2 linked regions of the Callithrix jacchus genome follow. The protein of the gene in region 2 binds, or shares a complex with, the protein of the main gene of each other region. Links are inferred from orthologs where the notes say so. Each region holds a gene or a part of one and is shown on either strand. Other genes may lie near its edges. The genes, in order: SPIN1 and SPINDOC.

Evidence for each region.
Region 1: the proteins of SPINDOC (region 2) and SPIN1 are in contact, whole or in part, in a crystal structure (PDB 7CNA), measured with the Homo sapiens proteins. The link is inferred for Callithrix jacchus from reciprocal best matches to the Homo sapiens genes SPINDOC and SPIN1. Residues at the interface, in NP_612480.1 of Homo sapiens: Phe256, Ala258, Pro259, Ala260, Val262, His264, Phe265, Thr266, Asp267, Ser269, Phe270, Pro271, Gly273, Phe274, Val275, Leu276, Gln277, Leu278, Phe279, Ser280; in NP_006708.2 of Homo sapiens: Met154, Thr169, Tyr170, Glu171, Pro174, Pro206, Val209, Val210, Leu213, Lys216, Gln217, Val218, Glu219, Tyr220, Thr229, Val232, Val242, Tyr243, Ile245, Phe247, Asp249, Asp250, Tyr254, Val255, Tyr256, Asp257, Leu258, Val259, Lys260, Thr261.

The regions. Positions count from the first base shown.
Region 1 is NC_133502.1:72,366,571-72,381,806, reverse strand, and holds part of SPIN1 (spindlin-1), read right to left. Parts: intron 12,020-15,236; coding exon 11,766-12,019; intron 5,930-11,765; coding exon 5,696-5,929; intron 1-5,695. UniProt on the Homo sapiens protein: Chromatin reader that specifically recognizes and binds histone H3 both trimethylated at 'Lys-4' and 'Lys-9' (H3K4me3K9me3) and is involved in piRNA-mediated retrotransposon silencing during spermatogenesis.
Region 2 is NC_133511.1:120,852,396-120,868,225, reverse strand, and holds the start of SPINDOC (spindlin interactor and repressor of chromatin-binding protein), read right to left. Parts: upstream 6,797-15,830; 5' UTR 6,594-6,796; coding exon 6,467-6,593; intron 2,117-6,466; coding exon 1,787-2,116; intron 1,706-1,786; coding exon 1,556-1,705; intron 1,390-1,555; coding exon 1,264-1,389; intron 1,113-1,263; coding exon 912-1,112; intron 1-911. UniProt on the Homo sapiens protein: Chromatin protein that stabilizes SPIN1 and enhances its association with histone H3 trimethylated at both 'Lys-4' and 'Lys-9' (H3K4me3K9me3).

The sequences.
Region 1 (15,236 bases), on a different chromosome or scaffold from region 2:
GAGTCAGCAAACTTTTTCTTACAAGGCCACACAGTAAATATTTCAGGCTTAAGGGTATGTGGTCTCTGTCCCAACTGTTCAACTCTGCCACTGTAGCATGAAAGCAGCCACTGATAATATGTATATAAATGGGTGTGGTTGTGTTCCAATGAAACTTTTTCCATAAAAATAGTTTGCCGACCCCAATCTAGATATATGAACAATTTTGAAAATCATATCCCAAAATTCTTTTGGTCCATGTTTAATTTGTAGCTGTAATTAACTCAAAGTAAGTCTGAGTGGCTTTGAAATATAATTTGAAGGCAGACAATTCCTACAGGGATTACTGAGAATATGGTATACATTTAAAATGCCTAAGTACCATAGGTTGTAGTCTGTGAATCCTTAAATCTTCTTATCCCTCAACTTTACGGCATTTCACATCATCTTCCTCAGATTCGAAATTTAAAAAAATTTTCCACGCTTTAAAAATTGGTGTTGAATGAACTTCAGCCCAGGCCAAGTACAAGGGAATCTCTGAGGATGGCCCAGGAATCTGTACTATCTAAAAGGTCCCCAAAGTTGGCAGGGTGTGGTGGCTCATGCCTGTAATCACAGCACTTTGGGAGGCAGAGGCGGGCAGGAGATCTACACCATCCTGGCCAAAGTGGTGAAACCCCTTCTCTACTAAATACAAAAATTAGCTGGGCATGCTAGCGCATGCCTGTGATCCCAGCTACTCGGGAAGCCGAGGCAGGAGAATCGCTTGAACCTGGGAGGCAGAGGTTACAGTGAGAGGAGATTGCACCAATGTTAATGCACTGCCTCTGGCCTACAACAAAACACACAGAAACAGCAAACCACTACCAACAACAAAATACAAAGTAAAAGAAAAAAGGAGGGATAAAGGTAGGCAATTATACTTCTGTTTTTTAAAAAATTGCATGGGTTCTGAAAAACTCAAAGCTCTTTTCCTTGTAGTAATCTTCAGATAGGGCAACCAGGGTTGCAGCTGCTTAAGATGGTTCATGTCATACTGGCACAATTGGTAGTAATGCCATTTTACTCTCACAAGTATCCTGATGTGAACCATATAAATGTATATGTATTAACAGTTGTCTGACTCTTTGGTTACAATAAATTCTCTCACTGAATGATAATCCAAAAAGTGCGACTGTGATCTCTGGTACTAAGAATCACAAGCAATAAAAATAAAACACCTGAGCATAATCAGCTCTTTAAAAAGTAATAAAGAAATATAAGCTAAACTTCTTTCTTTAAAAATTCTCTTCCCTTAAGCAGTATCATCATACTGCCATATTTTTGTGGCACTTTTGTGTTTAAGAAGGAATTACAAATACACGATCACATGTGAATTTTATAGTAACTGAGCTAACCAAGAGACTCATGTAGAGTCCCGTTTTATCATCAGAGCAGGTAGTTGAACAAGATCCTTTCAGAACTCATTAGATCAGAACATGACCACTGTTTCTAAAGGTAAATAAGCTTCCACAGCACACTCGCAATACGTATGAGTTTGGACAATTAAAGGAGTGGAAAGATCAAAAAGTGGTTAGGAAAAGCGATGGGAGAACTGCAAATGCCCTTGTATTTCCTATGATTAGGTTAACAGTACTTGCTTGACTAGGTATTTATCTATTAAAAAATGTTCAAGTAACCTCACACAGGTTGGAAAAATGCTTTTTAAAGGAACATTCTCATGATGAATTCTTTAGTATATAAATAATTTGTATTACCTCTTTATTACCCCTTTATACACAATTTTTTTCTTAAAGACTGAGTCTGGCTGTCTCCTAGGCAGCAGTATAGTGGCATGACCTCGGCTCACTGTAACCTCTGCCTCCTGGGTTCAAGCGATTCTCCTGCCTCAGCCTCCAGAGTATCTGGCACTACAGGCGTGTGCCACCACACCTGACTAATTTTTTATTTTTAGTAGAGACGGGGTTTCACCACGTTGGCCAGGATGGTCTCCAACTCCTGACCTCAGATGATCCAACCGCCTTGGCATCCCAAAATGTTGGGATTACAGGCATGAGCCACCACACCCAGCTCACAAATCTTAAAAATATATATATATAAGAAGTAGAAATTCAAGACCAGATGAACAAATTAGTAAGTTCATTAACTGACTTCTTCAGAGGAGAAACTTAAACAAAAAAGGAATAGAGATGACTGTCACATGGCTGATGCATGAAGGGTCTACTAGTTACATTTACATCTGTCCAAAGCAAGAGATTCCTGTGTGTGAAGGCCGTCGAGTAGTTTTTAAAAGAATGAGCTTATCTAAAAGTGAAATTAAGAAAACAGTTCAATTCATATGTATAACAGCATCAAAAAAAACAAAATCCTAAGAAGTGAATTTAATAAAAGAAATGCGAGGCCAGGTGCTGTGGCTCATACCTGTAATCCCAGCGCTTGGGAGGCCGAAGTGGATAGATCACCTGAGGTCAGGAGTTCGAGACCAGCCTGCCCAAAATAGCGAAACATTGCTACTAAAAATACAAAAATTGGCCAGGCCTGGTGGCAGACACCTGTAATCCCAGCTACTCAGGAGGCTGGGGCAGGAGAATCATTTGAACCCAGGTGGAGGAGGTTACAGTCAGCTGAGATCGCACCATTGTACTCCAGCCTAGGCAACAAGAGTGAAACTCCTTCTCACAAAAAAAAAAAAAAAAAAAAAAAGAAAAGGAAAACAAAACAAAAAATGTTTTCAAAGTGTTGCAATCAATCAGTGAAAAAACACCCCATGCTCATGGATTAGAAGACTTGTTAACATTAAGAGGGCAATGCTCTTTCAAACTCATCTACAAATTCAACATAGTCTCCATCAGAATCCCAGGTGACTTCTTTGTTCTGACAAGTTGATTCTAAAATTGATACGAAATTGAAAGAGATCCAGAATAGCCAAAGCAATCCTGAAAAAGAAAGCAGGGGCCTGGCGCAGTGGCTCGCACCTGTAATCCCAGCACTTTGGGAGGCTGAGATTACAAGGCAAAACCCTGTCTCTATGAAAAATACTAAAGTTAGCCGAGCGTTATGGTGCATGCCTGTAATCCCAGTTCCCTGGGAGGTGGAGGCTGCAGTAAGCTGAGATTGTGCCACTGCATTCCAGCCTGGGCAATGGAGTGAGACTGTCTCAAAAAGAGGAGGGAAAAAAAGCAGGACTCAAAAGTCTTGACTTCAAACTCATTACAAAGCAATGTAATCAAGACAATGCAGCACTGGTATAGTGACAGACATACAAATTAACGGAATAAAACTGAGAGCCCAGAAAAACACCCACGTATCTGTGGTCAACTGATTTTCAATAAAGGTGCCAAAAACATTCAATGGGGGAAAGAACAGTCTTTTCAAAAAATGGTGCTAAGACAATTGAATAGGCATCACATGCAAAAAAAATGGAAGCTGGACCTTTATCTTGAACCTCAGACAAAAATTAACTCAAAAATGCATCAAAGACCTATATTTAAGAGCGAAAACTATAAAACTCTTAGAAGAAAACAAGTGTAAATCTTCATTCCCTCAGATTTCGCAAAAAAGATTCTTAGGACACAAAAAGCACACTAAGCAAGAGAAAACGTAACTTGAACTTCAAAGTTTAAAACTTTTGTAGCCTCAAAGATCATCATCAGGAAAGCAAAAACAGATCCCATGGAATGGGAGAAAATATTTGCAACCTATATCCGATAAGGGTCTTATTATGTAAAAAAAAAAAATTATCACAATGCAATAATGAAAGACAGATAATCCAATTTAAAAATGGGCAGGGGCTATGAATAAATATTTCACCATAAATGATAAAAATAGGGCCAATAGGCTGGGTGCAGTGGCTTACCCCTGTAAACCCAGCACTTTGAGAGGCCAAGGCAGGTGGCTCACTTGAGGAGCCAGCAATTTCATACCCAGGTAGAATAAAACCAAAGGAAAGAAAACATGTCCATACAGAAACCTGTACACAAATGTTTACAGCAGCATTATTCATAACAACCAAGAGATGGGAAACAACTCCAATGTCCTTTATTGGATAAACTGGCTAATCAAAATGTAGTATATCTATACAATGGAATCATATTTGGCCAATAAAAGGAATGAAGTACTGATATACGCTACAGCGTGGATGAAATCTGAAAACATGCTAAGTGAAAAGAAAGTAGCACAAAGGACCTCCCACCATATAGTCCATTCATATGAAAGTCCACAACAGGGAAAATGACACAGCAAGTATTATTGGTTCCTTAAGGCTAGGAGGAAGACAGGTTGAAGGAATAAAGGACTGATACCTAACAGATACAAGGTTTTCTTTCGAGGTTATGAAAACGTTTTAAAATTGACTATGGTGAGGACTGTACCTATCTGTGCATGTATTAAAAAGCACAGAATTGCACAATTTAAATGGACTAACTGTATGGTCTAGAAGAAATTCTAACATGGTGGGGCACGGTGGCTCACACCTGTAATCCAAACACTTTGGGAGGCCAAGGCTGGCGGACTGCCTGAGCTCAGGAGTTCGTGACCACCCTGGGCAACATGGTGAAAACCTGTCTCTACTTACTTACACACACACACACACACACACACACACACACACACAGAGAGCCAGGTATGGTGATAGGCACCAGGCTGTTCCAGCTACTTAGGAGACTTGATTCAGCCTGGTTGGGGAGGGAAAGGAGGGGTTGCAGTGAGCCAAGACCATACCACTATATTCCAGCCTGGGCGACAGAGCAAGACTCTGTCTCAAAACAAAAACAACAATGACAACAACTAAAGAAATAACAGAATAAAGCTTTTCTAGGCCTAATGAAATTAGCCCAGGTACATCCTTTTCTACCGTCCCTTCACGAACAGACTACTTGTGGAAATAGCTAAAATGATTTGTCTCAACACTGACTCTGTACTTCAGTTGCTACAGAAAAGCTCCCCCAATTAGCTGTTTTCTAAAACTGATGTTCTCTAAATCAGGAGTCCCCAATACCTGGGCCACGCCACACAGCAGGAGGTGAGCAGGAGCAAAGAGAGCACTACCATCTGAATTCTACCTCCTGTCAGATCAGCAGGGCATCAGCTTCTCATAGGAGTGCAAACCTTATTGTGAACTGCGCATGTTAAGAATCTAGGTTGCGTGTTTCTTGTGGGAATCTAATGACTCCAAAACCACCATCTCTATATCCAACCCCCAATCCATGGAAAAACTGTCTTCTACAAAAGTAGTTGGTCCCTGGTGCCAAAAAAGGCTGAAAACTGCTGCTCTGAAGTTCAAGTATTTATAGATAAAATAATCAATGTCTTGGGGCTAGCTTCAAAATAATTACATTGGGGGGACTACCAGATAAAACTAGATAGGCAATGAGACAGTAACTGTTAAAGCTGAGCAGGGGTACATAGGGACGTGTTTTATTGTTCCCTATTCCATCATGTTTTTAAATAAAAGTAAGTAACATGTAGTAGTGTTAACAATTATAAAACAACTTGTATTTTATTATAGAAGCCAAGCAGAACTAATTATCAAACATTTTCTTAACTGAAATTCATGACAAGATGAAAAATTTCAAAGCCTGTGTTTGTGTATGACTAAAAGAATAATTATATATCCAAAAATAAAAATGTATCTGCAAAATAGCCAATCAAATATCTTGTACTAAAATCCAAATCCCTTTTGAATTATCCAAAATAAAAGTTGCCAATATATACTTACTGGAATCAGGCATAATGCGAAGGTCGCCTTCTTTGTAATCATCTAAGAGCTGGTACATATACAAGACAGGGTCTTTCTCATAGGTAATGTAAAACCATGTGTTCATAACAGGTGCACGTGCTAAGACCATTCCCCTCCATTCGTCTTTAGAACCATCCTCTGTCTCAAACATATGTTCCACTGCTTTGCCAATCATTGTGTCTGCCAAATGTGCATCGCTGATTCGAGATGTTGCTGGGGATTTAAAAAATAAAAGTTGACAAACTGATTACTGCCTATGAAGACTGAATTTACTAAAGAAGACTATCTGAAATTTTGTCCATGCAATGTATTAGCAAGCATCAGAAATCTGTGAAGGCTTTCAGAAGTACAAAAACCCAACACAAACTACTGGGCCCCAGCTCAGAGTTGAATTCAACAGGAATAGAAGTATTTTGTCACAAGTCAGTGAATTGAAAAAAATATGATTTAAAAAAAAAATCTTCTGGACTCGTCTGCTCTTGGTTCTGTACCCACATCACAAGTGTTAATTGTTCATTCAAGGTATAAAATATATTTTTTTATTGTTTACTTAAATTTTGAGATAACTTCAGACTTAGAGAAGAATTACATAAATAGTAGAGTTCCTGTATATAGTTCACCTTGCTTTTCCTGTATTAGCATCTCACATGACCACAGAACATTTATTTAAAACTTAGAAATGAACCTAATCAAGGCACAAGTTTTTTTTTTTTTTATTTTAAAGAAACTGGTGTTTGTTTTCCTTTAGTCTTGTTTCCATTTTTTATTAAGGCATAGGTTTTACTCTTGCTCCTACAATCTTATTCTCCACTGAAACCAAAGTAATCACTGTGTCACTGATACCAGATTGTGTGATTTACAATGTTCCCACACCTTATCTTTATAATTTGAAAAACAACCAAACTGCTCACTATGGCCCCCAAGCCCTAAGCCATCACGCCTCTGCCCTCAAGTTTTGCCATCTGCTTCCTCACTGCCCATACCTCCTCTACTCTGCTCTTCTCCCTCTCCCATTAGAACACACTCTCCTCTGCCTGTTAAAAAGCTCTTCCTCACACCTTCAGAAGGCCAGTTCCTCTTGGGGTTCTCCTGACCAACAAGGTGAAGGTAGCCCTACCAATCCGTCACATTACTACTCAGTTTTACTTTTAATAACATTCACCATGATCTAAAGTTATCCCACTTTATGTATCTGTGGTACTTGTATGTTGCTGGTATATCCCCATGAAAACTGAGACCTTCCCTTTCTTCTTTTATACCTAGATCACAGCAGGTCAATATTTGTTGTATGATTTAATCAGATGTCCGGTGTAACCAGGGCTCAGGTATCTGTAATAAGAGATTAACAGTCCTTGCCCTTAATACTTTTCAAAAGTGGGTAAAAATTATCATCTTTGTCTTTTTAATACTAGAAAAATTATAAAGGATCCTACTGGTTTTAAGGTTTCTCCAGTCAACAATTTTAGATAATTGTCTTTACCTAAAATATACACAATTGTCTTTAAAAAAAAAAAAATTGAGACAGGCGCGGTGGCTCACACCTGTAATCCTAGCACTTTGGGAGGCCAAGGCGGGCGAATCACTTGAGCCCAAAAGTTTGAGACCAGCCTAGGCAACATGACAAAATCCCGTCTCTACTAAAAATACAAAAAATTAGCCAGGTGTGGCGGTGCAGGCCTGTAGTCCCAGCTACTCAGGAAGCCAAGGTCGTAAATCACCTAAACCCAGAAGCCGAGGCTGCAGCCAAGATGGCGGCACTGCACTCTAGCCTGGGCTACAGGAGTGAGACCCTGTGTTAACAACAAAAAACAATTAGCACTCCTATTTTCCTCATTCATCAGACTTCTATTTCTATTAAATCAAAAGAAACAAGTTAGATTTTCTTCACAAATGTATTGCTATTAATTTTATCAGCATACTCTAAACCTATATGGTTGGTTTTCTTTAAGTGTGCAGTAATAATAAAAAATTACAAATTCCCTCTGTGCGTGACACTAAAAAAGAACCCCACTAGTTTCTTAAAGCTAGTAGCTCTCAGACTACTAGATCTCAGAACTGTATTTGCATTCTTAAAAACTACTGGCTGGGCACAGTGGCTCACACCTATAATCCTAGCACTTGGAGGCCCAGACAGGAGGATTGCTTGAGGCCAGGAGTTTGAGACCAGCCTGGGCAACATAATGAGATCTCATCTCTACAAAAATTAAATATTAGCAGGGTATCATGATGTGTGCCTGTAGCCTCAGCTACTCAATAGACTGAGGCAGGAGGATTACTTGAGACCAAGGTGTTGAGACAGCAGTGAGCCATGATATTCCCGCCTGGGTGACAAAGCGAGACCCTGTCTCCAAAAACATAATTTAAAAGTAAATAGAAATTACTAAAGACCTAAAAAAGCCATTTGTTTACACAGACAATTCCTACCAATACTTACTATTTCAAAAAATAAAAAACAAATCCAGAAACGTTTATTTTAAAATATCTGTATAACAATGTAATTTAAATTAAAAGTAACTATTTCCTATCAAAATACGGTAAGAAGAGTGGCATAATTTTACATTTTTGCAAATCTCCTAATTGTCTAGGTTTCAAAAAGAACAACTAGATTCTCATATCTGTTTTAGTGCTCAATCTGTTATGATCTGTTCTTTTGATGTATAAAATCCAGTTTTACAAAGTTATGATGCTGAAAAAGGAGAGTATTCTGTCTTTCAGTAATTCTAGATAGTCTTATATGAAACTACAAAATTCAACAGCTAACTCTTTAAAAATTAGTTACAATGTAGAATCTGAAACCATTAATAAATTTGTCATACTCTTACATTGAAACTCATGCCTCCAGAACACATAAAGAACTCTCACAACTCAAAACCAAAAATCAAATAACCTGATTAAAAAATGGTCAAAGGACTTAAATAGATATTTCCCCAAAGATGATATACAAGTGGCCAACAAGCACATGAAAAGATGTTCAACATCACTAATCATCAGAGAAATGCAAATCAAAACCAAATGAGGTATCACCTCACACCCATGAGCATGACCACTATGACAACAACAGTAAATAACAACTGCTGACTAAGGGATGGCGAACGGGAACCCTCGTGTACTGCTGGCGGGACTGGAAAATGGTACAACTGCTGTGGAAAACGGTATGGTAGTTCTACCTAAGAAATTAGAATTATGATATTAAAAATAAAATTGTAATTACCATATGATCCAGCAATCCCATGTGCCTATAACCAAAACCATCGAAAGCAGGATCTCAAAGAAACATCTGCATACCCATGTCTACAGCAGCACTATTCACAATTTTATATTCTACCAAGAGGTAGAAGCAATCCAAATGTTCCTTAATGGGTAAACAGATAAACTGTGGTATAGAGATACAATGGAATGTTCTCTTCAGCCTTAAAAGGGAAGGAAATCCTGTCACACATTGCAACTTGGATGAACTTTGAGGACATTATGCTAAGTAAGTTATTCACAAAACAAATATGTATGATTCCACTTCTATATCCAGAGTAGTCAAATTTATAGAGACAGAGTGTAGAACGGTGATTGCCAGGGGTTGGGAATGGGAAGAAAGGCACACTGTTTTGTTTAATAGGTAGATTTTCAGATTTGCAAAATGAAAAAGTTCTGGAGATCTGTTTCAACAATGTGAATGTACTTAACACTACTGAACTGTACACTTAAAAATAGTTAGGACAGGGCCGGGCGCGGTGGCTCAAGCCTGTAATCCCAGCACTTTGGGAGGCCGAGGTGGGTGGATCACGAGGTCAAGAGATTGAGACCATCCTGGTCAACATGGTGAAACCCCGTCTCTACTAAAAATACAAAAAATTAGCTGGGCATGGTGGCGCGTGCCTGTAATCCCAGCTACTCAGGAGGCTGAGGCAGGAGAACTGCCTGAACCCAGGAGGTGGAGGTTGCGGTGAGCCAAGATCACGCCACTGCACTCCAGCCTGGGGTAATAAGAGTGAAACTCCGTCTCAAAAAAAAAAAAAAAGGTTAGGACAGTAAATTTTATGATACACATTTTTTTTTACAATTGAAAAGTAGTTAGTCTTGCACTTTTTACAGCTCTACCACCAGTGCATGATCTGGTACTATGCATTGCTCATAAAGAAAATTTTGTGTTCACTAAGTTATGCAAATCTTCCAAATAGCTAGTGGGAAACTCCACTGTGTAACTGAGGAAAAAGAGAGAGTGAAAAGTGCAAATTACAACTTATCAATATGAAAATATCTCTGACCGTGCAAATCTCCTGAATGGGCTTCAGAGAACCCAAGGGTCCCCGGACTTTGCTTTGGGAACCACTGCTCTGTGACATCACATGCATTTTGGCTGACTGACATTTTTCTCCAACTTTAGCTTAAGAAAAACATAATTTTAATTATACTCTAATATACTACCTGAAGCAAATTTCTTCCTATGTAAAGCATAGGTGAAAAGCAAGTAATTTTTTAGACTAAAGTAGGTTGATGCAAAAGTAACTACTGTTTTGGCCATGACTTTCAATGGCAAAAACTGCAATTACTTTTGCACCAACCATAATACAGTGAGTACTAAAATTAATAGCAACTATTAGCTGAATTAGGCATATATATTGCTGATTTACATAGAAGCTCTTGGATTTCTTTTTAAATTGCTTTATTGTTTACAAAATCAATATTGTTGGAAACAGATAATCCCAAACTACAAACAACATGGAACCCTTAATACCATCACCAGATACTTGCACAGTTTCTATCCTTCAATGACAAAAAGACTAACAGCCACAGGTCACGCATCAATATGCAGGAACCTTCAAGTGAGCTATTTGTCTTGTCTCAGAAGGGGCAGAGGCTAAAATTCTGCTGTTAAAATTCTTAATGTGTTAAAGTTTCTTATGTGAGAAATGGATTAACGTTATGATCAAGAAGAAATGTAGATGTACATCAAGAGGAAGAGCAGGTACTCAGTCACACTTAAGAACAGATGAGAATGTTGAAAATAACAGATTTAATATCACCGTTAGGAGTAATAATAAAGATTTATATTTAAAGAAAGATTTCTTTGAAAACTGAACCATATTTATGCAGATGAACAAAGATTTCGGATTTGATATCTAAATAGAAGATTAACAAAATAACTTGCTACTATGGCAGAATTAACTTGCTAGGGAAACTGTTATATCCCAGGAATACAATGGCACAATCTGAAGAAAAACAAAGTGAGGAAACTCAATTAATTTCTTCCCGTGAAATCTGATCCCAAAATTCCTACCTCCAAAGTCTAGATCTGCTGAAGCTTTATTATTTAATGGTATAGACTATTAAAGACAATTCTCAAAGTACAAACCAGTATTTTAAACAAGAGCAGCATCACTGTAATAAGAAAATATTTCAAAATAAATACTGCAAAAAAGTAATAATTTGGGTGTATCCCACCCTACTAAAAAATAAAGTCAGTAATTATCATTTACCTTAGACCTTACGTCTTAAGGAACATTTGTAAGGCAAAACTGGCACTACATGACATTTTAAAAGAGCCATTCATCCCCACAAATACTGTTCAAATAAGCTCTGTGTACAATAAAGATCACGTTTTGGTTGCTTATATTTTGGCTCCAAGTACAATTCTCATTTACATTGTATACAATCAAAGATACACTTTCACATATAGACTGTAAAGTAAATGCACATTCTCTTAGCTTTTGTATCTGATGAGATCAACACACAGGAGATCTGAGCTACTGATAACCTTACCCACCAGAGTCCAGAGAACAGTGAGCAAAAACGTTAGAATAACTGTATTATAAATTATTAAGTTGCAAACTTCTTGGGGGAGGGGGAATACACATCTCTATATCCCCTACACAGTTCCTTGAATTGCTTTGGATCCATTTTTTGTGGTTGTCAGTGATTTAATATAATGTTTATTAGGAGGGGTGCTTGTGTTTCAATAAAAGTGAAAGTATTAATAATATAAAATGATAAAAAAGCATCCATTTTCAATATCATTTTTAAAGCATATAATGCACAAATAGTAAAAAGAACTTACCAACTCTATCAGGGAGGACTTCAAGCGCAGAAACTCTTTCATCTTTATTAAGTTCTAGTCCATAAACACAGTCAAATCCATCGTATTTTATAAGATACAAAGAAGGATTTACAGGCACCTGGTCCAGAACGGTTCCTTTCCACTGGGTAACAGGGCCATTCCCCTCTTTCCACCCGTGCTGAATCCTGCAGCCTACGATGTTCCGCCGGGGCTGGGAAACAGGTTTGCTCGGCCCCACACTGCTCCGATGTTTTCTGCATTCACACATATACAGACATAAGGTATTATCTCAAAAGTATGCAGGTCTAGATCTAACATAACGGGCTAATACGCTCTCATTACAGATGGTCCCAAAATCTGTACAAACTCGTTTGCCACATTCCTGCTTCAGATGACTCAAGGTGGTTATCTCTACCCATGTACCAGTGGTGGTGAGTGTGTAACATGGTATGTTAGTAATAGGAACTTGTTGTGTACCTCAACTGTATACAGACAGGGGCAAAAAAAACCTACTAGTCAATAGCAACTTAAGCCCTACCATTAATCATCAGGTCCTCAGCTTTCTGAGTTTAATTCAATCAACTCAAAATTATCTAAGTTGATTAAAGAAGCAGAAGGGCTGACCCATGAAATACATTTTACCAATAATCACACAGGTATATAGCTTTACATAATATGAATCCATTTCAAGTTAAAAAGAAATGTATGGTTATTCAATTTAACCCACTCTAGTGCCCACCTTATTCTGCCTGTACAGGCTTAAACAAAAATAAACTAGACAATTTTCTCTTAAACTGAAGTCCACACTAGCTTATATCAATGCACTACAGAAATATTACTTGTCTAGGAAACATATAATCTTAAAACTGAAGTTTATAAAAAACAATGTAATATTATAAATTATTAAAACATCACACTATTTTTTTCTGATTATTAGCAACTGAAAAATCTATATAGGATGTTTATAAATAATACACCTGGCTCTTGATATCAGGAAAAAAATCTTCATTTCACCTTGAAACCTTGGCTTCTTGGAGGCAAGCTGAAGGCCAAAACCAACACAATGGTTGCTGATATATGCCAAGAATGAAAACAGCTGAAAGAAATTCCCTTCCCACAGTTCCATGGATATAAAGCTCCCATTTCATAAACCATGAAAAAAAGTGATTAATGTCTGACATATAACATAAACAAGTTTTTTAAAGAAACAATTTATTGTAGGTTGTAATGTTTAAAACTAAAATTATCTATTTTCTAAATAGAAAGAATTTCCTCTAGACTGGTAACATAAATGCAGCTAAGTCAGAGGGGAATGGGCCATGAGAGACGATAAGGAGTATTCACCACAGAACGGAAGCTTCTCCTTGGTGTGAAAAACTAAGCAAGAGGATCGGAGCCTAACCAGGGAGACTGGGAAGGAGATTCACAAGGTTAAGTGCGAGACTGTGAGGCCAGAAAACCCAGGTCTGCATAAGCCCCTGGGGACTGTACAAACATCCAGGAAACCTGCCTTCCTGAAAGACAAAGCCCTTCTGATTACACAATTCTCACTGAGCAGGACAGGACCACAGGGGGAGGAAAGCAGGATTCAGGCACAAATGAGGGTGGCAGGTCTCACAAAGTATGACAGAAGTGGCTACACAAGAGAGAGGTCTTAAGCTACGAAAGCCTTCCTGGAATCCTCTTATTCACATGAGTCTGGAAGCATCATGGTTTGACAAGACACAAAGTTATTCTGAGGAGAAAAGAGACTAACAATGCAAAGGATGTTCTGACAGGCAGAAGCAGGCCTCAAAAAACAGGCCCATGAAGTAGATGAAAACTACTAACACAGAGCAAATGGCAGAAGCCATGAAAGAGGAACTGCGATGATTAATTTTGTGTGTCAACTTAACTGTGCCACAGAGTGCCCAGATTAAACACTATTCATGGGTGTGTCTGTGCATCTCAGTCAGCAGAATGAACAAAGAATATGCCCTCATCAACGTGGGTGGCCATCATCCATTCTGTGGGCTTGAACAGAACAAAAAATGGAGGAGGGAGGAATTTGCCTCTTTCTTCCTCCTGGTCTGCCTGAACTGGGACTTGGTGGGGTTGCCCCATGTTGGCCACCTCTGTCAGGGTCATCACCTGGGGGAGGGAGGGGGGTGTGCAGGGGTCTGTCCTGCACACCCTGACTCAGTGACAGATGAATAAAGTACACTGACATATAGATATTATGCTTTGCCAGTTTGGCTTGAGTGTCCATGGCTGCTTACAGACTCCCTGGAGAGGGCTGTAAAAAGATAGAGCGACCGGCCCCCACCACTCAGTGAGACTCACATTTATTTAGTAAAGTTTAACTGACAAAGGCTTGAGTCAACACCACTAGACTTAAAGATTAAAAGACGCGTTCCAATGCCCAAAGCAAACACAATCAGTGGGTAATAACCCTGGTCAACTTCCCCCAAGACAGCCATCCAGCTCAGAGGTTAGTTTTAAGACCACATTAGTAACCAAGCTAGTTAGGTAAACTACTCACATTCCTTTGTCTTTGTTCCCTAATCTCTTTGGCTCCTGCAAAGAGACTCTGGCTGTCTTCAGCCAAGAACTATAGAAAAAGCCCTTAGGCCTTCCAAAAGGGTTTGAGACTATATGCTACAACTTTCTCTAATATTTTCCCCTTAATATTTTTGCCATCATCCTGAGTAAATTCCCACAGGACATCCGTATTCTTGTGCCCTGTGACTGAAACTGACACCACTGGCTCCCCTAGTTCTAGGCCTGCAGACTGATTTCCACATCCAGCTTTCCTGGGGCTTGGCTTACAGATAGCACTCAATGGGACTTTTCAGCCTCCAAAACAGCAATGAGCCAATTCCTCATAATAAATCTCCTTCATGTTTTATCTAACTCCCAACGATTCTATTTCCCTGGAGAACCCTAACTAATCTAAGAACATATATCACAAATAGAAAAGATGAAAAATGAGATAGCCAGACAAGAAAACATGTAAGAACTACCACAGAAAATAAAGAACCAATAGTAATTTGATTTTTTTTTTTTTTAGAAACAAAGACTAAACTAGAACATGAGAAGAAATAGACACCATGAGAGCATGTAAGGGAAGTGGACAATGAAAAGGGGACAGATGGGGACAAAAGCAAAAAGAATTAAGAGATGGTAACAAATATTCCAACTTCTGTATAACAGAAGAACTAAAAACTAAAATCAAAGTTCACAGATGAGAGTACGAAAAACCGCAATTCAAGAAAACCTTCCTGAAACAAAACAATTGAATATACAAAGGCACCTCCTGGGAAAACAGAATGACTGGAGCTAAGGCATCTCCAAGTCAAATAAATGAATTTTTAAGAAAATAACACCCTTTGGGCATTTAGACAAAAGAACCAAATCATGTGTAAGGGAAGGACTCAGAATTTGAGAGCAACACTCTATGCCAGAAGGCAACAGAGTAATAAACTTAAGGTT
Region 2 (15,830 bases):
TCTGGGCCTCTGCTCCAACAGAGCATCTCTCATACTCTAGCTAGAACAACTGTATATGTGGAAATCAGCTTCTGGGAAACGGCCTACCCTGACCCAATGACCAATTCCAGAAAACTCCTAAGGAACACTAAGAAAAGCTCAGCTGGTTGGGCGTGGTGGCTCACACCTGTAATCCTAGCACATTGGGAGGCTGAGGAGGGTGGACTGCCTGAGCTCAGGAATTCAAGACCAGCCTGGGCAATATGGCGAAACTGTCTCTACTAAAAATACAAAAAATTACTCAGGTGTGGTGGCATGCACTAGTCCCAGCTACTGAGGAGGCCAAGGCAGGAGAATTGCTCGAACCTGGAATTGGAGGTTGCAGTGAAACCAAATCACACCACCGCACTCCAGCCTGGGCAACAGAGCAAGACTGCCTCAAAAAATAAAAAAATAGGCCAAGCACAGTGGTTCACGCCTGTAATCCCACCACTTTGGGAGGCCGAGGTGGGTGGATTTGGCCAACATGGCCAAACCCCATCTCTACTAAAAATGTAAAAATTAGCCAGGCGTGGTGGCACCTGCCTGTAATCCCAGCTACTGGGAGGCCGAGGCAGGAGAATTGCTTCAACCTGGGAGGCAGACGTTGCAGTGGGCTGAGATTGTGCCACTATATACCAGCCTGGGTGACACAGCAAGATGCTATCTCAAAAAACAAACAATAATAATTTTTTTTTTTTTAAAAGAAAAACTCAACTCTCAGGTCAGCCTCCCTCATCATTCAGATCCCCCTGCCTCTGGCCCCGTGTCCCAGGAAACCTGAGCACCACCTACCCGATACTGGGCTCCGCCACAGAGTAGCCTTGCTGAGGCCCGGCCCAGGGGTACTGCCTGTGAGGTCCCCACCGTGCCTCTTGCTGCGGAGGGCTTACCTGGAGAGGGGCTCTCTTCCCGGGGAAGGGCTTCCTCTGCCGCTTCCCCATCTTTGGGTGGGTCCTTGCTGTCTGGGCCCCTGAGCTGGGTGTGGGAGAAGAGCTGCAGGACAAAGCCAGCGGGGAAGCTGCCATCAGTGAAGTGTCGGACCTCTGCTGGTGCTGCAAAAGTCTCCGTGGGTGAGTCTGGTGATGGAGGCTCTGGAAGGGAAGACAGGATGGAACTGTGAGTGAAAATGCTTCAGGGGAGCTGCAGGCGCCCAGTGCCCGGGCCCTGGTCCATCCTCACTGATGTGGATCTCCGTGGAGCCCTGCAAGCAGAGCCCATACCTCCCTTGAGCCTCCCCTTCACCTGGGTCAGGGTCCAGGTTTTTGGTCATAGGTCTGCCTCTTTTCTTCCTGACTGGCTCTTCCCCTGCGGGCTCCTTCCATCTCTGACCACGTGGCTTCTTATTTCCTGGCTCTGTGGCAGGGACAGCTGTGAAAAGAAAAGACCTCATACCTTCTTTAAGAGGCCATCCCCCAACCCTGCCACCCCAGGGCTCCCAAAGATTCCTGCCCAGAACACAGGATCTGTACTTCACCGTGTCCCCAAACCCCCACCTCCACTCCACCGGGGCTCACTGGCTTCCCCGTTAACTAACCAGGAAGCTCGAGGGGGCGAAGTCCCCTGGGACGGCTCCTTTTAGGGAGAGATGGGTTATCCTCAGAGTCGAGGAGCACGACGATTTCAGCTGGCACTCTGGCAGGGTCTGGGTTGGAGTCTGGGTCTGGATGGGCATCCTGGCCTGAGTCTGCAGGGGGCAAGGGCACAGTGAGCTTCTAGTGTCTCAGCAAGTCCACCTTCTCCCTTCACCCACCCCAGGCCCAACTACCTGAGTGGGGTGGGGATGGCTGCTCAGCCCTGACGTCTTGCAGGAGGGCCACCCCTTCACTCCAGGCCTCCAGGATGTTGCTCTTCTCGGAAGGGCTCAGGTCCAGGGTGTGAGGATGCTGCTCCAAGATGTGCGAGCGCGCCGTGTCGGCCGAGGGTGCCCGGATCTCAGCACCACACACCATGCACAGTGCCCGCCCGCTGCCTCCAGGGCTGCTGCCCACCAGGAATTCCTGCTCCCAAGACACCTGTTGCTTGGGTTCCTCACAGCTATCACTGCCTGCCTCCAGTGGGCTGGATCTAGGTGGCGGGGTCTTCTCCTGTTGGGTCACTGCGAGGGGAGATGCGGAGGGTGTTATCACTAAAGGTGCCCGCCACCGACAATACTTAGCACAGCTCCAGACTCAGAGGTCTGAGTGGGGTGGGGCGGGGGGACAGCATTTCTGTCCAGACTGTTCTTCTTCCTTCCCCTGGAGTCCATGAGGCACACATCACACTAAACACAGCCAGTGTGCCCAGGATCCCACTCCCCTTGCCTACTCTTGGGCCTTAGGACTACACATACTTTTCCAACAGCCACGTTCTTGCTGGTCTCCAGCCTTTGTACATTTGTCCAGACCACCCTGACTGAGCTGGGTGACACCATCCCTGAGAAGCCTTCCAAGACCCCACTCCTAACAACAGATCTCATCCAAATCTGACTTCTACGCTTTGTGAGAAAAGTAAATTTTTTTAATTAAAAATTTTTATTTATTTATTTTGAGACAGAGTCTCACTTTGTCTCCAGGCTGGAGTACAATGGTGCAGTCTCAGCTCATTGCAGCCTTGACCTCCTGGGTTCAAACGATCCTCCTTCCTCAGCCCCCACAAAGCAGCTGGAACTGTAGGTGAGCACCACCATGCCTGGCTAATAATTTTTTGTGTGTTTCTTTTTTTTTTCTGAGACAGAGTTTCGCTCGTTACCCAGGCTGGAGTGCAATGCTGCGATCTCGGCTTACCGCAACCTCCGCCTCCTGGGTTCAGGCAATTCTCCTGCCTCAGCCTCCTAAGTAGCTGGGATTATAGGCACGTGCCACCATGCCCAGCTAATTTTTTGTATTTTTAGTAGAGACGAGGTTTCACCATGTTGACCAGGATGGTCTTGATCTCTTGATCCACCCGCCTCAGCCTCCCAAAGTGCTGGGATTACAGGCTTGAGCCACCGTGCCCGGCCTGTTTGTGTTTTTAAGAAATGGTCTGGTCTCACTTTGTTGCCCAGGCTGGAGTACAGTGGTGCTATCACAGCTCACTGCTGCCTCTAACTCCTGGGCTGAAGGGACCCTCCATCCTCAGCCACCTGAGTAGTTAGGACTACAGATGCACACTATCATGCCTATCTAATTAAACCTAAAAAAAAAAAATTAGCCAGGCGTGGTGGCAAGCGCCTGTAGTCCCAGCTACTCTGGAAGCTGAGGCGGGAGAAGCGCTTGAACCCAGGAGGCGGAGGTTGCAGTGAGCCGAGATGGGATCTTGTTATGTTGCCCATAGTAACAGGCTGGTCTTGAAGTGGGCTCAAGCAATCCTCCTGTCTCAGCCTCCCAAGGTGCTGGGATTACAGGCACAAGCCACCGTGCCCAGCCCAGAACAGTATATTTTATCATCTTACTAAGGGCCACCCCATCCCCTCAGAACCCTCCCCTCAGTGCTCACACATTTACAGCTGCAGTCTCACTCCTGTTGTCTGATACCTGCTCTTTGTGCAGACAGACCATAAGCTCTCACAGGGCACCAGCCCTTTCCAGTTCAGCAAAGGTAGCCTAAGAACTGCATCAGCCTGGAGGCTCAGTGCTTTGACGAAGTGCCCATGATCCCTCAGGGCTGCATCTCTCTCCTACCTTCCAGAGAGGACGAGACAAAATTAAAACACCTGGAGGCTGCATGGAAGAGGCGGCATTAGAAATAAATAGGAGCCTCGGCTTGCATGGATACAAGAGGTGGTGGCTGAAATAGAGACTAGACATGTCTTATACCCATCTCTCACGTGACCATGGGCAGAAAACCTGACCTGTCAGTTGCCATCAGCTTTCTTCCCTACTAGTTCTCCCAAGCAGCTCTCATCCACGTCAGCAGTGCTAAACCCGGTGACCAGTTTTTCAACGTCAGCCTCTGCTGATCACCTCTTCCATCTTGATTTGCATCACTTGCGTCCGGGGAATGACCTTTTGTTGGTTCTTCTTTTACTTCCCTGGCACTCCTTCTAAGTCACGTGTGCTGGTTCTTCCTCGTCTCTTCTCAATATTCCCTCCCTTCCTCCAGGTTGTTGCTGAAGAACTATCTCCCCATCTAGACCACTCCATTCCCCTTACGCAGCATTTCCAACCCAGCACGCGTCACCACCCGGCACCTGTTTGGGGGATGTTCACTGCCTGTCTCCTCACCACCATAGAATACAGGACCACACAGATTTCTGATGTTTTGCATCTGGATCTCCAGCACCAAGAACAGCAGTACCTGGCATGTAGTGGCATTTAGTAATTGTGAGGATGGACTGACTCGGTCTACAACCTGCCATCACTGGAGTTTCCCAGGACTCAGTCCTTGAACATTTTTTTTTTTTTTTGAGACGGAGTCTTATCTCTGTCACCCAGGCTGGAGTGCAGTGGCTCAATCTTGGCTTACTGCAACCATCACCTCCCAGGTTCAAGCGATTCTCCTGCCTCATCCTCCTGAGTAGCTGGGATTACAGGCGTGCACCACCATGTCTGGCTAATTTTTGTATTTTTGGTAGAGGCGGGGCTTCACCATTTTGACCAGGCTGGTCTCAAACTCCTGACCTCAGGTAATCCACTCACCTAGGCCACCCAAAGTGCTGGGATTACAGGCATGAGCCATTGCACTGGGCCTTCGGTCCTTGGACACTTGTGTCTACTTCCTTCTGATGCCACTGCCTGCCTGCTGGCAATTTCCTTGACACCACCAGCCAGATACTTCCAGGAAATTTAGGCTCCTGTATCTGACTGTTTAGTGACCTCTCTACCTGAATATGTCATAAATAGCATGTCAAACTTAATCATATTTAAACGCTCACTTCCAATCTCCCATGAGTACTGCAACCTTCCCCATCTCAGAAAATAGGAAGGCTGTTTCTCCAGTTGCTCAGGCCAAAAACCTTGAATTCAATCTCTCTTCGCCTCCCCGCTGAAATCTTTGCAGAAGCGTGTGCTGCTGGACCTCTGCACTTGCTACTTGGCCTGAAATGCTCTTCCTCCAGGTATCAGCAAAGTTGGCCATCCTCACTTCCTTCGGGTCTGTGCTCAAAATTCACCTTATTAGAGAAGCCTTTCTGAACCACTCGATATACCAAATTGAATACCCATTCCCCCTTTTTCTCCTCGTCCTGCTCTAGTGATCTCTGAACGACTTATCGCCACCTAACATCCTATACAGGAACCTATGTATTTGTCTTCAGCCATTGGCATATATGTGTTCTTCAAGAGCAAGGTTTCGGCTGCTCTGTTGACTGCCACTGCTGCTTCCCAGCCTAAAACAGTAGCCTCAACAGCCTAAAGCAGATACCCAGTGAATACTGGTTGCATGAATTCACCTGTCTATTCCCACCCTAACAGTGGGCATAAGGCAATCTTTGCAGAGTGGAGAGGATTAACTGAGACAGCCTCTAACAATGCCCAGTGAACACTCAACAAATATTAGCAGCAGAAGTAGGAAAATAACCTAACTAAATGCTCCGAGGAGAGAGGTGACCTTTATTTCCCTCATTGATTTTATAACCCTTCCAGTTCCAAAAAGGATGAGAGGCAGTGCAGACAGACAGCATTCGGTTGGGCTGAAGTTTAAAGAATGGCCTTGGGGCTTTCAACCTCTTTTGGGTACTATCCCCCCCCTAAGAAAAGTGGGACTGAAGAATGGAAAGATATTTGCATTTTCACGCATATTAAGTTTTTCCCACAAACATGGCTCTTGGTTTTCTGACGGTCTGCAAGCTCCTGAGGACTAAAGAAATCGGTGAAGGGGGAGGGGAGAGCGAACGTTCTCAAACTGTTTCTCCCGTCCCCTCCCAAAGCGAAGCTCACTCTGGCACTGCACTGCTTTCCCAAACTAGGTGTCGTATGCAGTCCCATGCAGCCCTTCTCTCCAGAACCTGACACCTGTGGCTCGTGCAAATGGAAGGCTCGGGAATGCGATGAAGCGGGGTGCTGGGCAGGAAAGCGTTGTGCTTGGAGAGTCTTTAAATTCTATTGGAGGTCGGCAGCGGCGCGCGCCTCCAGCCTCGGGCCTAGAGGCCTCGCCGCCCCTCAGCCTAGAACACAGCCGGGCCGTGGTGCTGGCCTCCGCCTCTCAGGCGATGAGACGGCGGCCACCCAGCACCTCTGGGGATCCGGCCTCCGGTGCTGGGCCCGGGAGAGGGGGCGCTCGGGCACCGGAAGATCCGGAGCGTGCGGGGCGTGGATCGATGTCTCCAGACCCCGGACGGGGGGAGGGGGAGGGGGAGCGAGGGGAAATTGAGGAGGCCTGAGCTTCCAAACCAAGGTGGGGGAGGTGCGAGAGCGCGCCCTGGACCCACAACCGAGGGGAGGCTGCGCCCCAGGCTGAAGGGGGTGAGAAGATACCCAGGTCTCAGACCCCGACTGGGGAAGGGCGGCCCCGCACCGTGACGCGGAAGTGGGGTCCCCTCCATCCTCACCTCTGAGCATCGGCTCAGGCCGCGGAATTACGGCCACCACCATGGCCTCCTCCTCGTCCTCCCCTTCCTCGCATTTGAGCGTCACCTCAAAGCAGTCGAGTGCGGCGCCCTCGGCCTTTACGGCCATCGTGCGGCCGTGGGCGAAAGCGGTGGCCGGAGGACGGGCGCGCAGGCTTCGGCGCGCAGCTGGCGGCCGCCTCAAGCCTCCCGCCCGGAACAGCCCCCTCCCCGCCACTCGCCGGCCGAACTTGCCACCGGCGCGTCCGGGCCTCCCCGAGACCTCGGCGCGTCGGGAGCCCGGGCGGGGAGGGCTCAATCAGGGCTCAATCCGGGGCCCCTGCCCCCTGCCGCTCCCTTTTATGGAGGCTCATTGTCAGCTCCCGCCCGGCCGGCCCGCCGCGGGCCCGCCCCCGGCCCCGCGCGGCCAATCGCGCGCGGCCCCGCCCCGGGCACGCGGCCCCGTTAGAATCCCTGGACCCGGGAGGCGGCGGGAAGGGCTGAGCGGACCCGGGGCCGTCTTGTTCGCAGAGTCTGAGGGGCTCCCAGATTCCCCCAGCGCGGGCGCCTGAGTCGGCTGGCCGAGCCTGGGGTTCTCTGTCCATTGAGAAACCGATTGGGCGTTTCTGCTGGCGTGGAGAGCGCTACCAGGTGCCCCCAGTTTTTGAAGGGGGTTCGCTTTTGCCTTTCCGTGGACCAGCCTTTCTCCGCCAGCAGATGCCCCGCGCAGGGAGAGAGCCGGTGGGGGAGTGGAAAGGGCCTGGGCTTGGAAGCGTGGAGACCGAATTCCTTCTCAACTGCCAGCTCTGTGACCGTGGGCACGTTATCTGTTTTGTTAGACCAGCTCATCCTTTCAAAAACCATTTTGGACCCTCTGGGAAGGCAAAGAAGAGGAGCGGAGTGGACTGTGGGCGGACGCAGACCACCCTGGATGGGTATGAGTTCCATTTTTTAAACGTGAGTCCAGAGATTTTGTGACCCTCTCCAAGGACACACAGCAATCCCTTGAGAGCCCCAAGACCAGAGATTAGTTGCTATGAAATTGCTGAGCTACAACCATACTCTGGGTGAGCTTTTACTTCTGTGACATAGAATGTGCATCTTCCTTTTCTATAGCAGCCCTCATGAGATTTCAGCTCAGAAAATGCAAAATGTCTGACACTGAAAATCCATCTTTAAATGTGGTTATATCAGACCAGATACAGTAGTATTCAGAAACGTGTAGTCGGATGGGGGTGGGAGAAGAAGTGTGAACTAGGCTATTTGGATTGCAGTGTGTGTGTGTGTGTGTGTATATATATACACACATATGCATGTACATGTATACCCATATAGATGCATATATATACACACATATATATGCATATATGTATATATACACATATACATATATGTGTGTATATATATATATATATATTTTTTTTTTTTTTTTTGAGACAGAGCCTTGCTGTGTTGCCAGGCTGTAGTGCAGTGGCTCCATCTTGGCTCACTGCAACCTCTGCCTCCCGGTTTCAAGTGATTCTCCTGCCTCAGCCTCCCGAGTAGCTGGGACTACAGGTGCCCACCACCACACCCAGATAACTTTTGTATTTTTAGTAAAGACAGGGTTTCACCATGTTAGGCAGGATGGTCTCGATCTCATGACCTCGTGATCCACCCACCTTGGCCTCCCAAAGTGCTGGGATTACAAGCATGAGCCACCCCGCCGGGCCGGACTGCAGTATATTTTTAAATGAATTATTTTGTTACATACAAGTGTTTTCGGTATTTTAAAGGTTTTACAAATAAAGGTATTACTAAACCTGTTTATTTCTATTAGTCATTCTCTACCATTTGCCACAGATGCCTTCCTTGCCCCTCTGCTCTGCTCTGTATTGCAGGGGGCTGAATCTTGTATTGGGCAGTTTCTCAGTCTCCCAGAGCATCTGGCCTCGGGCCTCAGTTTGGCCAGTGAGAGGCAGTGGCAGGAGAGGAGAAGGCAGGAGGAAAGAAAAAGCCAGGGTATTTCTTCTCTTTGTCTCTCTTGCTCAGGCTGAGGCACATCTCCAGCAGCAGAGGAGGCCTCTCTGTGGCTCCAGCTCATGGACAGGGAGCTGAGGTCCCAACATCTGTAGGGTGATCCATGCCCCTGGGCTCCATCTAGGCCAGCTCCTCTGTTTGTCCCTTCAGGTTAGGAGTGGTGGGCAGCTTCTTGCTTTTGCTAATCTCTGTACTGCCTCTTTCTGTCCCCTGCTGGGCTTCCCAGACCTTCCATTACCCCTGTTTGTTTGTTTGTTTGTTTGAGTCTTGCTCTGTTGCCCAGGCTGGAGTGCAGTGGCATGATCTCAGCTCACTGCAGCCTTGGCCTCCTGGGTCCAAGTGGTTCCCCTGCCTAAGACTCCCTAGCAGCCGGGACTACAGGTGCGCACCACCACCACCCTGCTAATTTTTTGTATTTTTAGTAGAGATGGGTTTCACCATGTTGTCCACACTGGCCATTACCCCTATTAACCATGTCACCACAACCCTGCATTACATTCTGTTTTCAATACTTAAAGTGGTTCCCTCCTGGCAGGGCACAGTGGCTCACACCTATAATCCCAGCACTTTGGGAGACTGAGGCAGGTGGATCCCTTGAGGTCAGGAGTTTGAGACCAGCCTGGCCAACAAGGCGAAACCCCATCTCTACTAAAAAACAAAACAAAAAATAATGGTGGCTCACGCCTGTAATCCCAGCACTTTAGGAGGCCAAGGCAGGTGAATCACCTGAGGTCAGGAGTTCAAGACTAGCCTGACCAAATGAAGAAACCCCATCTCTACTAAAAATACAAGATTAGCTGAGCTTGGTGGCACTTGCCCGTAATCCCAGCTACTCAGGAGGCTGAGTCAGGAGGATTGCTTGATCCCAGGAGGCGCAGGTTGCAGTGAGCTGAAATCGTGCCACTGCAGTCCACCATGAGAGATGAGAGCTATATTCTGTCTCAAAAAAAAAAGTGGTTCCTATTTTCCTGGTTGAACCTTGAGTGATACAGTATTGTACCACCCAATTAGTAGACATTTTTTCTTTTAAGTCATATTATTCTCAGCTTATAGAACAGGAAGTTGAAGCTTAAAGGGTTAGATTACTTGCCCAAGGTAATACTGCAAGAATCTTATTTCATTAAGCCTAAGGTGACTATTTCCCCCATATTTTAATATCCCCCAAATGGGGATGCTTTCTGTAATTGACATCAGTGTGAAGTTTAGGAATATCAAGAAAGTGAAAGATGCCTTTTCTGGCATTCAGACTGTACTGTTACCAGCAGAACGTAAGCTATGTTTTTAGAATGAGACATAGATGAGGCCACTTCATGACCACAAAGTGACTTCACTTCCCCTTTTTTTTTTTTTTTTGAGACGGAGTTTTGCTCTTGTTACCCAGGCTGGAGTGCAATGGCGCAATCTCGGCTCACCGCAACCTCCGCCTTCTGGGTTTAGGCAATTCTCCTGCCTCAGCCTCCTGAGTAGCTGGGATTACAGGCACGCGCCACCATGCCCAGCTAATTTTTTGTATCTTTAGTAGAGACGGGGTTTCACCATGTTGACCAGGATGGTCTCGATATCTTGACCTCGTGATCCACCCGCCTCGGCCTCCCAAAGTGCTGGGACTACAGGCTTGAGCCACCGCGCCCGGCCTTTTTTTTTTTTTTTTTGAGATGGAGTCATGCTCTGTCGCCAGGCTGGAGTGTAGTGGCATGATCTTGGCTCACTGCAACCTCCGCCTCCTGGGTTCGAGCAATTCTCCTACCTCAGCCTCCCTAGTAGCTGGGACTACAGGTGTGTGCCACCACGCCCAGCTAATCTTTGTATTTTTAGTAGAGACGGGGTTTCACCATGTTGGTCAAACTGGTCTCGAACTCCTGACCTCGTGATCCGCCTGTCTCCATCTCCTAAAGTTATGGGATTACAGGCGTGAGCCGCCATGCCTGGCTGATGTCCTAGATTTAATGAAACGTGGGTAGTTGCTAAGGTAGGACCCAACCCTGGTTCTGTCTATCCCGTCCTTGCTCTTAACACTACAATGCGTAGATAAAGAAACCACATCAAACAACACGCACGTCACAGAAGCAAATCAGTCTGCCTGCAAAGACAGGCCTTCTTCCTTGCATGCTTGCTCTGCTGAGTAAACCCTCTGTGCTGAGCTATGAGGGAAGACTCCAGACCATCGTCAGTGGAGTTATTAGGAATTCTGGGAATTCCCCTCCACTGGCTACATAGCTACATAGTAAGTGCCAAATTAAGAATTTTTTTTTTTTGAGGCAGAGTCTAGCTCTGTCATCCAGGCTGGAGTGCAGTGGTGAAATCAGAGCTCACCACAGCCTCGAACTCCTGGGCTCAAGCGATCCTCCTGCCTCAGCCTCCCAAAGCGCTGGGATTACAAGTGTTAGTCGCTGTGCCTGGCCAAGAATTGGAATTTATTTATTTATTTAATTTATCATTGTTATTATTATTTGAGATGGAGTCTTGCTCTTTCACCCAGGCTGGAGTGCATTGGTGTGATCTCCGCTCACAGCAACCTCTGCCTCCTGAGTTTAAACAATTCTCCTGCCTCAGCCTCCTGAGTAGCTGGGATACAGCTGTGTGCCACCATGCCTGACTAATTTTTGTATTTTTAGTAGGAGACAGGGTTTCTTCATGTTGGCCAGGCAGGTCTGGAACTCCTGACCTCAGGTTATCTGCCCTCCTGGGCCTCCCAAAGTGCTGGGATTACAGGTGTGAGCCACCACCGGCCCTATTTTGTATTTTAATAGACGGGGTTTCCCTGTGTAGCTCAGGCTGCTCTCAAACTCCTAGGCTTAAGTGGTCCTTCTACCTCAACTTCCCAAAGTACTGGGATTATAGGCGTTAGCTGCCACACCCAGCAGGGAATCTTAATTGTTGAGACTGACCCCTGTGTAGGAGAGAAGACAGACCCTTATTAGATAAATTACCTCTTTTGACTTAGTGAATTTGGCCTTAAGACATGAGATTCCTGGGACAGGGCAGAACAGACCGGAAACAGGAGAGAGGAGAACCAATGGCTTCTGTTCCAACAAATAGTTGCTCCCGGCCACTCCCCCATAGTGTCCCCTAGGCTGGGGGCAAAGCTTTTCCTTTTGGCACAGCTTTTATTGTTGGTAGCACTTTAGGATCCCAGTGACAAGCTGGGACAGCGAGTGGACTGCCTCAAGTGGGGATAGCTGTGGGGATATTGAAATAGGGTAGATACTGAAGCTAGTGGACTAGACCCAGCTCCAAATGAGGAGAGGGCTGTCTGAAGGGTACGTAAGGGCGGGGGCCTTCACTCTTAACTGGCTTGGCATTTAGTAGCGGTCTTCAGCAAAAGCCATAATAAATATATAGCCATGATCTTCGGCTCAGTAATCCTAATGCCAACTTAGCCTAAAGTCATCCAAAAGAAGAAAAATAATGACCTACTAACAATGTCGGTATCAGTTTCCCACTTGAATTCTTCAGTCCCTAAAATTTAGCACTCCTCGGTGAAATTGTATTCAGTTGGTGCATGTGGTCAGAAGTGTGTCTCTTGGCCCCATATCCTTTGAAACACCACTTTTTTTTTTCTTTGAGACGGAGTCTCACTCTGTCGCCAGGGCTGGAGTGCAGTGATGAGATCTTGGCTCACTGTAACCTCTGCCTCATGGATTCAAGTGATTCTCCTGCCTTAGCCGCCTGAGTAGCTGCTGGGATTACAGTCACCCACCACTACATCTAGCTAATTTTTTGTATTTTTGGTACAGACGGGGTTTCACCGTGTTGGCCAGGCTGGTCTTGAACTTCGGACTTTGTAATTTGCCTACCTTGGCCTCTGAAAGTGCTGGGATTACAGGCATGAGTCACTGTGCTTGGCGGGAACACCACTGTTATGAAATTGGCATGCCGTGCTATAATTTTTTTTTGCAGGTCCATTTTTTGTCCATCTTTATTGTTTCGGCATAAGCCCAGAATCTGTGGTGTTAGCACCAACTCAGTGGCCACACTAGAATTCTTGTTGCAAAACTCTCAATCTAAACTAGCTTAAGGCCGGGCGTGGTGGCTCGCGCCTGTAATCCAAGCAGTTTGGGAGGCCAAGGCAGGTGGATCACAGGAGGCCAGGAGTTCGAGACCAGCCTGGCCAACAAGACAAAACCTCATCCTTATTAAAAATACAAAAAGTAAGGCCAGGCGTGGTGGCTCCCACCTGTAATCCCAACACTTTGGGAGGTGGGAGGTGGGAGGATCACCTCAGGTCAGGAGTTTGAGACTGACCTCAGGTGATCTCCTGACCAACATAAAGAAATCCCATCTCTACTAAAAATACAAAATTAGCTGGGCGTAGTGGCGCACGCCTGTAATCCCAGCTACTCAGGAGGCTGAAGCAGGAGAATTGTTGAACCCAGGAGGCGAAGGTTATGGTGAGCCGAGATCTCGCCATTGCACTCCAGCATGGGCAATAGGAGCAACACTCCGTCTCAAGAAAAAAAACACAAAAACAAAAATTAGCCAGGGTGGTGGCAGGTCCCTGTAGTCTCAGCTACTTAGGAGGCCAAAGCGGGAGAATAGCTTGAACCTCGGAGGCAGAGGTTGCAGTGAGCCGAGATCGTGCCACTGCACTCCAGCCTAGGTTACTCTATCTTAAAATATATATAAATAAATAAGTTAGCTCAGCTGGGCGCGGTGGCTCACACCTATAATCCCAGCACTTTGGGAGGCTAAGGCGGGTGGATCACGAGGTCAAGAGATCGAGACCATCTTGGTCAACATGGTGAAACCCCATCTCTACTAAAAATACAAAAATCAGCTGGGCATGGTGGCGCACCATGGCTACTCGGGAGGCTGAGGCAGGAGAATTGCTTGTACCCAGGAGGCGGAGGTTGTGGTAAGCCGAGATCGCACCATTGCACTCCAGCCTGGGTAACGAGCGAAACTCCGTCTCAAAAAATAAATAAGCTAGCTCGAACAAAATGGGGATTTAATGTTAAGGGAGGGCTGAATGCCCAATTGTGGGAAGGGCAGGGATACAGGCGACTTTAGGAATAACCGGACCCAGGACGTACATGCTGCCATGACATTCTTTTCCTCCCCAGTTTCTGCCTCTGCTTGTGTATATCCACTGTACTCTCTCCCTGCAGCCTGGCTTTTTCCACGTGGCAGGAGATGGGCCACTAATTCTCGCAGACTAGCTTCTAGCTCTGTATATTTCAAACCCGTTTCTCTTCCACTGCCCATGTGCCTATCCAGTGCTGGGCACTGTGGATCTCCTCTTATCACCAAATGACTTTGTCCCCTGTACGATGGTGTCATAAAATGAGGTGAGTAAGCTTGGTGGGCATAAGAGAATTCCTGGAAGCCATTCCTACTTTTTTGTGAAAGTATCCTGTATTGTCTGATATTTTTGCTTTTATAATCAGAATTTAAAATGTCATTTCTACTTTTTAAGGAAAGACCTGTCTGGGTGTGGTGGCTCTGTAATTCCAGCACTTTGGGAGGCCAAGGTGGGTGTATCATTTGAGGTCAGGAGTTTGAGACCAGCCTGGCCAACAGGGCGAAACGCTGTCTCTACTAAAAATACAAAAATTAGCTAGATGTGGTAGTAGGTGCTTGTAATCCCAGCTACTTGGGAGGCTGAGGCAGGAGAATCGCTTGAGCCTGGGAGGCGGAGGTTGCAGTGAGCTGAGGTCACGCCACTGCACTCTAGCCTGGGCGACAGAGCAAGACTCTGTCTCAAAAAACATATATATAAATACATAACCCAAATGCAGCAGAATTAGGCAAAAGAGATTGATTCTTATCCTTTTTGTGTGTTTATCTCACTCTGTCATTCTGGCTGGAGTACAGTGGTGCAAACATGCCTCACTGCAGCCTAAACCTCCTGAGCTCAAGCAATCCTCCCACCTCAGCCTCCTTAGTAGCTGGGACTACAGGCATGTCCTACCAAGCCCAGCTAATTTTTGTATTTTTTTTTGAGACAAGAGTCTTGCTGTCGCCAGGCTGGAGTACAGTGGCACAATCTCGGCTCACTGCAACCTCCGCCTCCCAGGTTCAAGTGATTCTTCCGCCTCAGCCTCCCGAGTAGCTGGGACCACAGGCACGTGCCACCATGCCCGGCTAATTTTTGTATTTTTAGTAAAGATGGGCTTTCACCCCATGGCCAGGATAGTCTTGATCTCTTGACCTCGTGATCCGCCCGCCTCAGCCTCCCAAAGTGCTGGGATTACAGGCGTGAGCCACCGCGCCCGGCCATTTCTTTTTATTTCTGGATAATATTCAATCGTATGTATATATAACCTTTTACTTCCATTCATCAGGATGTCTCCACTTTTTGGCTGTTGTGAATAGAGCTGCTGTGAACATTTATGTACAAGTTTTTTTTTTGAGACAGAGTTTCGCTCTTGTTACCGAGGCTGGAGTGCAATGGCGCGATCTAGCCTCACTGCAACCTCTGCCTCCTGGGTTCAGGCAATTCTCCTGCCTCAGCCTCCTGAGTAGCTGGGATTACAGGCATGCGCCACCATGCCCAGCTAATTTTTTGTATTTTTAGTAGAGGCGGGGTTTCACCATGTTGACCAGAATGGTCTCGATCTCTTGACCTCGTGATCCACCCGCCTTGGCCTCCCAAAGTGCTGGGATTACAGGCGTGAGCCACCGTGTCCGGCCTACAAGTTTTTGTTTGAACATCTGTTTTTTTCAATTACTTTGGGTATATGCCTTTAAGTGGGATTTTTGAATGATATGGTAATTCTGTTTAACTTATTGGGGAACTGCCATACTCTTCCCCACAGCTGCCGAATCATCATACATTCCCACCAACAGTGTAAAAGGCATCTGATTGCTCCACATCCTTGCCAGCACTTGTTATTGTCCATCTTTTTAATTACAGCCATCCTGGTGGGTGCACAGAGATGCCGCATCGGGTTTTGATTTGCATTTCCCTATTGGTCTAATGACATCAGACACCTTTTCATGTGCTTTTTTTTTTTGTCATTTTTATGTCTTCTTTAGAGAAATGTCTGTTGAAATCCTTCACTCATTTTAAAAATTAGATTATTAGATTTTAGTCTAAACTATTATTAGATATTAATTTTTTTTTTTGAGACAGATACTTGCTCTTCTGCCCAGGCTGGAGTGCAGTGGTGTGATCTCGGCTCACTGTAACCTCTACCTCCCGGGTTCAAGTGATTCTCCCGCCTCAGTCTCCTGAGTAGCTGGGACTATAGGTACGCACCACCCGCCCAGCTAATTTGTGTTTTTAGTAGAGACGGGGGTTTCTCCGTATTAGCCAGGTGGACCTCGTGATCCACCTGCCTCAGCCTCCGAAAGTGCTGGGATTACAGGCGTGAGTCACCGTGCTTGGCCCATGATTAGTCTTTAT